2 linked regions of the Caenorhabditis elegans genome follow. The protein of the gene in region 1 interacts with the protein of each later gene in a pairwise test. Each region holds a gene or a part of one and is shown on either strand. Other genes may lie near its edges.

Region 1 (5,152 bases):
ATTTGCTTACTACAGTTGCGAAATTTGAAAAAAGTGGACAGACAGAAGGACAGAAGCTCTCCGAATTGGTAATTGATGTAAGTTTAAGTAAAACTTTTCAAAATGCAGCTGTTGAAATATGGTCTCTCTCTCTCTCTCTTTCTAGAAAATAAAGATCTCTACTGATCTTTTTTTAGCTCTTCGAACAGTAATACCTGTCTGTGATACTATTTGATTTAGTAGCGTAGACAATTAGGGTAAAATAATAAATGTCTCAAAGTGAAATCCACAAAATATTCCCATATTACTTCCTCTTTTGCTCCAGTTTTTCTTCTAGTATTGAGAGTCTCCAGGGGAAAAATTTAAAGAAAAAACACATAATTCTTGAGTCCATTCCAAAAGTTTTATCACCACCACTACCACTGGGCACCAACTAATCTAATTCTAGAAGCCTGGGAGCCAATCAAAGCAATAAAATTGAATTGCATCGTCGGAAAAGCAGTGTGTAACGACTGTCCTAATCTACTCTCACCTTTCCGTATAATTTATGACAGTCAATCAGGCTCCAAGGCACGCGTGCTCAATCCAAATGTACATGTTGAAGAACTTGTCGAAAACTTGAACGAAGAGAAAAAAATGTTGCTTTCACAAAGTGGGGGGTTAGATGACAATCATATTTGAATTTTCAAGTTATCTTGTTGTTCTAATGGTTATAACATTAATGAATAATAAATAAAAGAAATAAACGAAAATTCATAATATAACCTTTTTTATCAAATCTCCACGATTTCATCGAAAATTCTGAATACACTTCTTGGTGCGTTTAAATCAAAATGACCTAACTGTAGTCTTTAAAAAATTAGCGGATATAAATTTGTTTCTACTCATTTGAAAGAAGTATACAATATCTTTCGACGTCACCAACTCGTCACAAACATATGATTGCTTTATAATTTCCTTGTGATCAGTCTGAATAATATTTACAGCGGATGGCTAACAAATTACTTTATTAAAGCATGGGATCCTTCCCCAGGGTTTCCTCAATTATTGAGATTCTAGAATCTATACTCCCACTCTTTATAGTCAGTTGATAACAGAGAAGACTTGACATAAACAAAAGGAAAATAAAACGGAAATTTGAGATCAAGGGAGAATGCATAACTCGCGGTGGGGAGTCCTCTGGAAGATGATATTTAATGGAAAAGTGGGTGAGGAAAAAGGAACAAATGATGAGCAGTTGCAGGAACAGCATCAGCAGGTGGTCGAAATTATAGGGACCACCAAGAGTATTGTCCAGGTTGATTCATAAGGTTTTAGTTAATAAGAGCTTTTTGTTAATTTATACAAAGGCTTCTTGCAAGATATATCAATTCAAAATAGTTTTGTAAGATTTTGATTAAGTAAAGCAATAATAGAAACTGACATAAATTTCAAAAAGGAATTGAAAAAAAAATAATTTGGATATTTTTAAGTGTCGGGGCAACTGCTAATACGTTTATGTTTTTTTCAAACAGTATTTTTGAAAGCACTTTAAACATTCAAAAAATAGTGTAAACCCACAAAAAGATTCCAGAACAACTATTCAAAAAAGTTAAACTCACATGTCCTTTTTCTTACAATTTTGCTAGATTTTCTAAAGTTTTTTTTTAAATTAAAAGTGCGTGGAAAATTCGATTCTAGATATTTGTGCACTTTGAGGAAAAATGTCCAAAATTTTTTTTTGAAAAGTTATAGGAAAGAATTTTAAAAACTAATACACAAAATACAATGGGAAAGGTCAAAAGCGAAGAAACAAAATGAATATCCTTCATCTGAAAGACATCTTCCCGAAAAAGGACCGAAGTCAATGGATACTGAGAAGTTCTTGGAACTTTTGTATCAAGGTGTAGGACAAGTGGTACTTGAGTAGTGGGTATTAGTGACATTTCGAGTGGTAGTGCCTTCTTGAGATCACAATGCATACGGTCATTTTATACAGTGGACAAAGTAGACGAGTGACTGTAATCAGACACCTGTTAATCCGATTATCTTTTTGGAAGCAATCAGAAGGAGAGTGAGGGAAAATAAAGAGTTTACAAACAAAGAAATGGGTGACACTCTTGAACAAATGCGATGGTTTCTCGAGCAAATGAAGGAAATTTCTGTGAAAACAGTGAGAAGAAGCTAATTATTACTATTATAACTTTTTCCTAAACGTTGTGGGACAAACTGCAATTGAATTCAACTATAAACACTCAGAAAACCCAGTGAGCCTCTATACAAGCAATAACACCTGAGTCGCTGTAAAATAAGGATTACTTGTCAATCATAGTAAAGGATTCTCCAAAACTAATTTTCAGGATATTGAGAGACATAATCCTTTGAAAATGAAAACGAGATGAAAATATTTTCCGAAACAAGATTTGAGCTTTGTGAACTTGACCATTTAAAAACTAGGGAAATATGTTTTTGGACTAACATTCTTCTTACATGACAAAGAGAAAAAGAAACAAATGAAATGCTTCACAAAAAACCATACAAAATAGGTGCCAAATAGGTTATCGTATCATTTTTGATTCAGCAATTAATAACCATAAACCTGGATCGAAAGATAACAATTCGCTAGGAAGGTGAAAAAGAAATTAATAGATTTATGGTAGGTAACTGGCATACGGTATAAGATATAGCCATAGACAAAAACTTTTACGCGTCTACAACGATGGGTTCACTGTTTCTTATCTATTTACAGCTGGGTCGTAAATAATACAATTCACCCATTATCGCTCTTTTGAGAGTAAAAACGGTAAAATGACGATTAGTTCGGTCTTAAAGGTAATAAAAATTTCCCGAAATATTTTCAAACTGCTCCACTCATTTTCATTTTTGCTCTAAAATTCAACTGGCGGCGTCCGAAAAGGGTGTCATTTTTCACATGAATTTGCATTACAATGACACTTTATGTGTTGTATTCAAAAAATGAATGGAAAAATAGAAATGAAAGTGGTACCGTGCGAAAAATATTTTCGAGTCGAAAAGCGGAAAAACATGAAAAAGTTACGTAAACCGAACATACCAAGAGGGAGTGAACAGGTGAAAATACAGTTGGATTCCACGAATTGAAAGCATCTGTCACACGTTTTGAGGGCGATCTGATCATTGAAAGACCGGCATATGTACTGCTGTTTGTGATCAAGGGTAAAAGGAACTTGTTTCATATGAATTGTGCAGGTGAATTATATCAGAATGAAAACAGGAGTCACAAGAAAACATTATTCGAAACAAAGAAAACCACGCAAAAATACATTAATTATCCTACAAAAATGGTTTCAAAAAATTAACGTTGATCTGACTTTATGCTAACAAAAAGTTTGTAGACAAGATCGTTAAAAACTAAGTATTTTACGAAATTTCGGAATTTTCTTTAAATCATGTTTGAAAAAGATCGATAATCGACGATTGCCACCAGAAACCGGCAATAGCCAGAAATATAAGTCATGAATTTTTAAAATTATGCTCACTACTGGCAACATTGCATTACAAAACTATAAAAATTTTGAAATACTTTATTTTTCGTTTTTGTTTATCAAAATCATATCTACTCACCAAAGTTTCAAACTCAGAATCGAATTTATTGTGATTGTCTCGCTGTGTTTTCTTTGTAAAAATTAAGTTTATTTTAATTATAAAATCAGATATGAAATACTAAAACTTTCATTTCACTAATCTTGAAAAGAAAAAAGTTCATTTTCATGCAGCCTTCATTTCACAAGTAGTCGGTGCAGGTTTTTCCAATTTCATGCAATCCAGGCTAGACTTCACTTTCAGAGCTTTATCGACTGAATCTGACTCTTTGCTCTTCTTCATTTCAACACGCTTAACCGGCGTGGTTGAAAATTTGTTTCTCGGCTTGACGGGAACCGAAACCACTTCAATTCTCTGAAATAATTTATTGGGAGATTTGTCATAAAATTTTTAAACTTTCTTACAGCAGTTCCAATTGAAGAATCAAGATCATTTGAAGAGGACGGATGAGAAGGCTGGGTTGACATAACTTGAAGTTCTCTTTCGATCTGGCAAAATAAAATGTTTTCTCAATTAAAAATTATATTCAGACCTTTTCTCTTGATGATCTAAGCACTTTATCCTCATCGGTCTTTTCTTTTGGCGATTTAGGAGAAGGAGTTTTTTTCGTGGTCAGGTGGACTCTGAGAACATGGTGATTTCGCTGGTGATAATGAAAGATTTCGTTCCAAATTCGATTTTTGCGATAGTACAGGGCTAGTTGCCGGCGATCTGCTTAGAGTTTCCTTTGACCTTTTTTTCTTTTTTGAACACAATGAAATCGTGAATACGGCGGAAAGAAAAAATAACAAAACGCTGGCCAATTTTGTGTACCTTTAAATGGGCAATTTTATGATATTTTTAAATTAGTTTTTGAAGACTTACTCTAATTCGAAAAAATATCCAAATTGCATAATCGAATGCTTGAGAATACAAAACCTTTGAATAAATTTACAATTGAAAAATCTAAAATGGAAACATTCTACAATAAGGAGAATTAAAGTACTCACCAAAATCTGTTCCAATTGTGAAATGAAAAGTTTACTTCGCAGATTTCAAATATAAGAACTACGTGAATTTTTTTTTGGAAAAAAAAAACTTATTGCAATGATTTTACGGCTAGATTATATTTTCTATTATTACACGCTTACTCATCGTTCAAAAATTTTTACTGTAGTTTCTAATAGTGTTGCATGCCAATTTTTCTGCAAAACCAAGTCTATCCAATTTGAGCATGCTGATGATATTTGTTGTTGATTTTTTAACCCGTTATTCGCTTACTAATTTACGTTTCATATGGCAGTTTTAATGATTTGACAATAATTTCAAGTCTTTGCTATTTTACACGTGGAGGTAAATATATTAATTATGAATAGTCGTTTTTCAGAATTTAACAGGTAAGGATCACAAATCTCGGCAGGTATTAACACCATTGTCGTTACGAATTCCTTAGTTTACTCAAATCTAACTACATATAATTTTTATTTTCCGCCTTGAAAAATTATAATTTTAAATAGTAATTATTTTTGTCACCTTTACACATTAGTTCCAACCAAGACAAAATCCTCTTCAGATTTCAATCTTTTTCTGAATAAATCCTTCGGAAACAATCGGTAGACCTATAATATCCTTT
Region 2 (4,918 bases), on another chromosome or scaffold:
ATTTGTTATATTTATCAAAACTATCCACATTTCAAATAACCTTTTTTTATATTTAAAAATAGTTAGTACCAGTGCTTGGAGGTTTTTGCAGCTTCCAATTGTGAATCTAAAAAAGTACAAAAATCGATGGAACGATCATTAATCTCAATCTGAATACTCTTCTTCCTCTTATTCTCCATTTTGTAACTCGTTCTCATAAATTTTATTTCAATTCCTACTCTTCCAATGGTAGTCACCAGGCGCCAGTCCACTCACTTCAAAAGAGAAAATAAAATTGATCGCGTTGTCAGATTATTTTCAGAAACGCTGAGGAATTGATTGATTTTCAATTTTTGGCGGGAAATGACAGAAGTTTCAAACCAGTGGGAGGCGCCAAAAGGGTGTTAGAACTTTTGAATTAAAAAAAAACAGATGAAATAAAAAAAAACTTTCAAGAAATTTAAATTCCACATGGACCCGAAATGTTTCAAGAACTAATTGTCTCTGAGCACCTGTTTATTTTTCAAAATGGTTTGTTTTCAGAAATTAAATTCGATTAGCAAAAGTTAACCAAATCGGTCTCAGCGCTTTGCAGAAACTAGAATTATTTGAAGGTTGTCAAAAGTGCGGCAAATAAAAAATTGTGACTTTCTATAAATCTGTGAGCATTCCTTTATTTTAATTATCCCGAATCACACACTATTTTAGTTATTAAAATTTTACACAAATTTAATTTTTGCCAATAGAGGAGCTTCCTAACTATAACGCTCCAACTCTTGCTTAAAGTATGGTGACGTTCAGAGAACTTAAAAAGATTACGAAATTCGAAATTGCTGAACTTTTCTAAAATATCATTTCATCTACTTAAATTTGTAGTGTTTTTTTTTTAAATATAATACTGTTTTAAAAATTACCTTTAAAGTTTCGTAACTAACCTGATCTCCGAGTATTGGATATTGAGGACCTCCCAGTCCTTGACTTGAGGCAAAATATGAAGCAATTTGAGAAGAACTAGTCGGATCATAATAACTTCCAAAATGAGCAGAAAGTGCAGCAGACGCTGTCATTGGATCATATCCAATTGTACTCGATAATTCAGAAGATGATGGAATTCCAGATGCACCCACAGAAGATGTGGATGATGATGAAGAAGATGAGGATGAAGACGAAGAGCTTGATTCAGGAGCTGTAGCTCTCGGTGCATCTGTGGATGACGGTGATGTTGATGTGGTCATCTGGAGTGAAAACGAGTGAAAGTGATTGATAAGAATTGATTGAAAAGAGATGAAAAGATGAGGGGAGGGAGGGGAAACGAGGTGATATAATAAATGAGGACGAGAGGCGCGTCGGGGCGGTTGAACATTTGTTAAAAATGTGACGTCTCCCTCTTTCTCCTCTTTTCTTCCATTGCAAAAGAGACAGAATACCGGGCGCCATCCTTCCCCGATCCCGCCCATTTCTCCTATTGGACGAAGGGTGGAGTCTCAGAAAGCGGAAGGGATGAGGGAATAGAATAAGAGGACGATAGAGATGAATGCAGTAGTTAAAAAAAGAGATCAAATTTTTTTCATTGAAGTAGATCATTCAGATATTCCTAAAGTCTACATATCTTCAAAAACCGAATAACTAGTAGAATAGGTATTTAAATTTGAACAATTGTAGTGAGAGCAAGAAAACTAACAATTTGTGCTGCTAGTCTAGAATTCAGAGATACGTGTACAATCGCAATCAATGACCGGATCAATATCTCCCAAGAGCCCAAATTTTCAACACAAAAGTTAAATACGATGATTCAGTTCTTAAAATTTTGAAGAACTTTCAGCAACCATCAATTTCTTTTACAGGTGATCAGAGCTTTAAAATTTATTAAAATTCCTGGGCACATATAATTGAAACCAATAAATTTCAGAACACGAATTAGCAATAATTACCGTTTGATAGATTTTAAATTTTAATTTAAGAACCTTGTTTTTTTTAATTACTGCATTCATCAAAAGGAATTAGATCAACCTATCAACTACTTGTACCTAATCCTTAGGAAATCATTAAAACTAGGAAAACAACAAAAGCTTAAGAACGGAAACAGAACAAAAAGAGAAGAAAAGTAAAGAGTTGGAAATGGAGAGAGAAAAGATGATGGTGATAAATTGAGGAGCAATCTGCGAGAGACGAATTGTTTTTGTGGGTGTGCTCAAGTGGGTGGTCATGGTTTAAGACCCGCGGGTTTTACCTTATAAGATTGGATAATTGCTCTAAATAGCTTTATATAAACTAGTAAGCAATCTATGAGGTCAAGAAGAAGTATGGACTAGAAGTCTTTATGTGTTTTCTCTGTAGGCCTAAGCTCTGAAATGTTACCTAACACTATTCCACACATTCTCCATGTCTTGAATATTTATGTGACTACTGATTACAAAATGAAATTTCAGAAATATTGAGGCTGTGGGCAATCCTCGAAATTTGACGAACTCAGCAATTTCGGTAGATTTGTCGCACACACCTGACAATGAAGCTTTTAAGTTGGATAATTTAAAGTTGTGATAATAGCTTTTTTAAAGTAAGATTACATTTTGTTTTCTTCTATGATTCACAAATTAAACGAGGGTGAGATTCAATTTATTTAAATGATCGGCAGAATAACGGGAACACGGTAAAAAGGCGCCTTCGCAACGCCTCATAAAGTGCAACATCTAATCTGGGCTCATTTCTTCCAGATATGTTTTCAATTTTTCAATGGTATATTCTCCAATAATGCAACATAAAATGTTTTTTCGGAACGCAGGTAATTTGAATAAATTCCTACAACAAAAAAAAAACAGCAGAAGCCAAAGCCGAGTATCTAAAAATGTTTCAAATACTGAAATTTAGTCGATAACTTTGCGAAAATATAAGAGGGTTCCGAAATAAACTAGATTTTAAACGTTTTCTGCCACAAAGGTGGAAAATTGATATTTGAAGTACATAACTTGCAAAATTTAAAGACTACGTTTTAAATAGTAGAGAATTTTCCTATAACTTTTTCAGGTGACCTCTAGGTTCAACTTATTTAAAGTTAAGTTCCAGTTTCATTTAGAACTTTGAGAAGCTTTGTGCCAGGAGTGGATTTAAAAAAAGAGAGATTTACCTTAATTCTAGAAGGTCGTAAAAAAATGTTGCCAAAATTCTATTGTTGGTATTGCCATCGGAATTTCCTCTATCGCCCTCCCACTTCATGTCTTCTAATCCGGGCGGCACGCACAAGAAGACGCAGACGTACTGATACACGTGAAGGGTGGAGCATGCTTCTTCTCCAATCTCCCCCACTGTCGGCATAGATCAAAGAGGTTCGTGGAGCCGAGAGCACATCTCTTGCTCTCGCCTTTTCAATTCATCACTGACAGCGCTGGATGGACATGGGGTGAGAACGACAGGTACCGTAAGCTTTTGGGCTCCAAGAGTAGAAGAGTTGAGCAGAATGAATTTTCGCTTTTAAGTTGCCGCTTTTAGGAACAAAATCTTGACCAACTTTTTCCCATTGGACAAGTTGTCAAGAGTCAGTCGAAATGTGCTCAATTTTATGAACTCTCTGATTTTATAGATATGGAATTGTTACATGAAAATTGGAAAAATGGCAAAAAGGGAGAGTATCTCGGCTTTGGGCTAAAACTTGAGCAGAAATTGAGCAAGGTTTCGACAACATAGTCTAAGACAAGTATTGTCAAAGCTCTTACCAACTTTTGCCAACATCTGATAGTCCGCTTTTTGAGCCAAATGCCTGGTATGCACAAAAAGTTCAAATGACCAAAAGACGAATTTCTGTGAAATTTTAAAACGGCGTTATGGGAATTTTGAAAAACGTTGAAGTTTTTCTAGGTCATTGATCAGATTTTCTAAAAATTTAAGCTTCTAGCTATTTCTAGCTAAATTAAATGTTATCAATACTTGGTCGACACCAAACACTATTTTTTGGAATTGTCAAGATACCTAAATATAAAAGTCTACAACTGAAGCATACGCTTAATATGTTTTCAAGATTTTGCAAGGCATCTGAAATTGCTTCGAGATTTCCAGCAGTGCCTCACCTTGTTCTTAAAAGTAAAAGTTCCCGAAACTTGAGGTTTCAGAAATGCCAACTGCAACTGAATTGATTCCAACGCCTCTTACAAAATGAAAGAATAAAGTTCTAGAAGTTCCCTACTGTAAACATGCAAACAGAGATATTTAAACTATTTATAAAACTTAAAATGTGTTACTTTTGTTAACTTTGAAAGTCTTTTTTAATTTTTTGATTAAAATAAAATTTTCAAATTAACAGTACATAGAGAATTACAAATTCTCAGAGCCACAACACATGATAATGTACTATAAAAGGAAATAACCCAAACACATCACATTTTTTATTTCATTATCAGTTTTCTCAATCTATAAATGATCCAATATCCTCACACCTCTCACAGTATAGATAAGGAGATAAGAATTGCATAACACTGTGGTAATAAATAAAAAAAAAAAGTGAGTAAATGATTAGTAAGTGATTATGCAATTGACTCAAGTCTATTTCCTGTCTCTTTTACAGTGATTTATGAGTGTCAGGAAGCATCAAGAAGTGTGGAATGAATGGCATCCAATTACTCATTTGTAGGTACACGAATCAAGAAAAAATAGGTTGAAGAAGTGTAGGGATCTTCTCTCTTTTACAAATTGATGTTCGACAATTCCTCATTTTGATTTTTTTTGGTCTTCCAATCTAGTGCAAACAGAAACGAGATAGAATGAGTTACAGTAGGAAGTTCATTAATCAAATGACGAGAAAAAGAGGGAAAAGTAATGAATACATTGAAGCATAAGACAAAAAAGAAATGAAAGGAAAGGAAATTGAACCACCGGGGGATGCCTGGTGAAAAATGAGAAAAGAGGTAGCGAGTTTGGAAAATTGGAGTTATGAACTATATCTGAAAAA

What was found.
Region 2: the proteins of K10D6.4 (region 1) and lin-39 interact in a two-hybrid assay, tested with the Caenorhabditis elegans proteins (3 studies listed by BioGRID).

Annotation. Positions count from the first base shown.
Region 1 is NC_003283.11:11,199,946-11,205,097, reverse strand, and holds the start of K10D6.4 (Maelstrom domain-containing protein), read right to left. Parts: upstream 3,174-5,152; coding exon 3,032-3,173; intron 2,818-3,031; exon of another isoform or gene 2,678-2,817; intron 607-2,677; exon of another isoform or gene 428-606; intron 78-427; exon of another isoform or gene 16-77; intron 1-15. Other genes in the region: K10D6.3 (TPX2 domain-containing protein), read right to left, coding at 3,706-3,894, 3,945-4,028, 4,073-4,163, 4,405-4,433.
Region 2 is NC_003281.10:7,533,487-7,538,404, forward strand, and holds the start of lin-39 (Homeobox protein lin-39), read right to left. Parts: upstream 3,147-4,918; 5' UTR 3,104-3,146; intron 1,215-3,103; coding exon 915-1,214; intron 1-914. UniProt on the Caenorhabditis elegans protein: Transcription factor.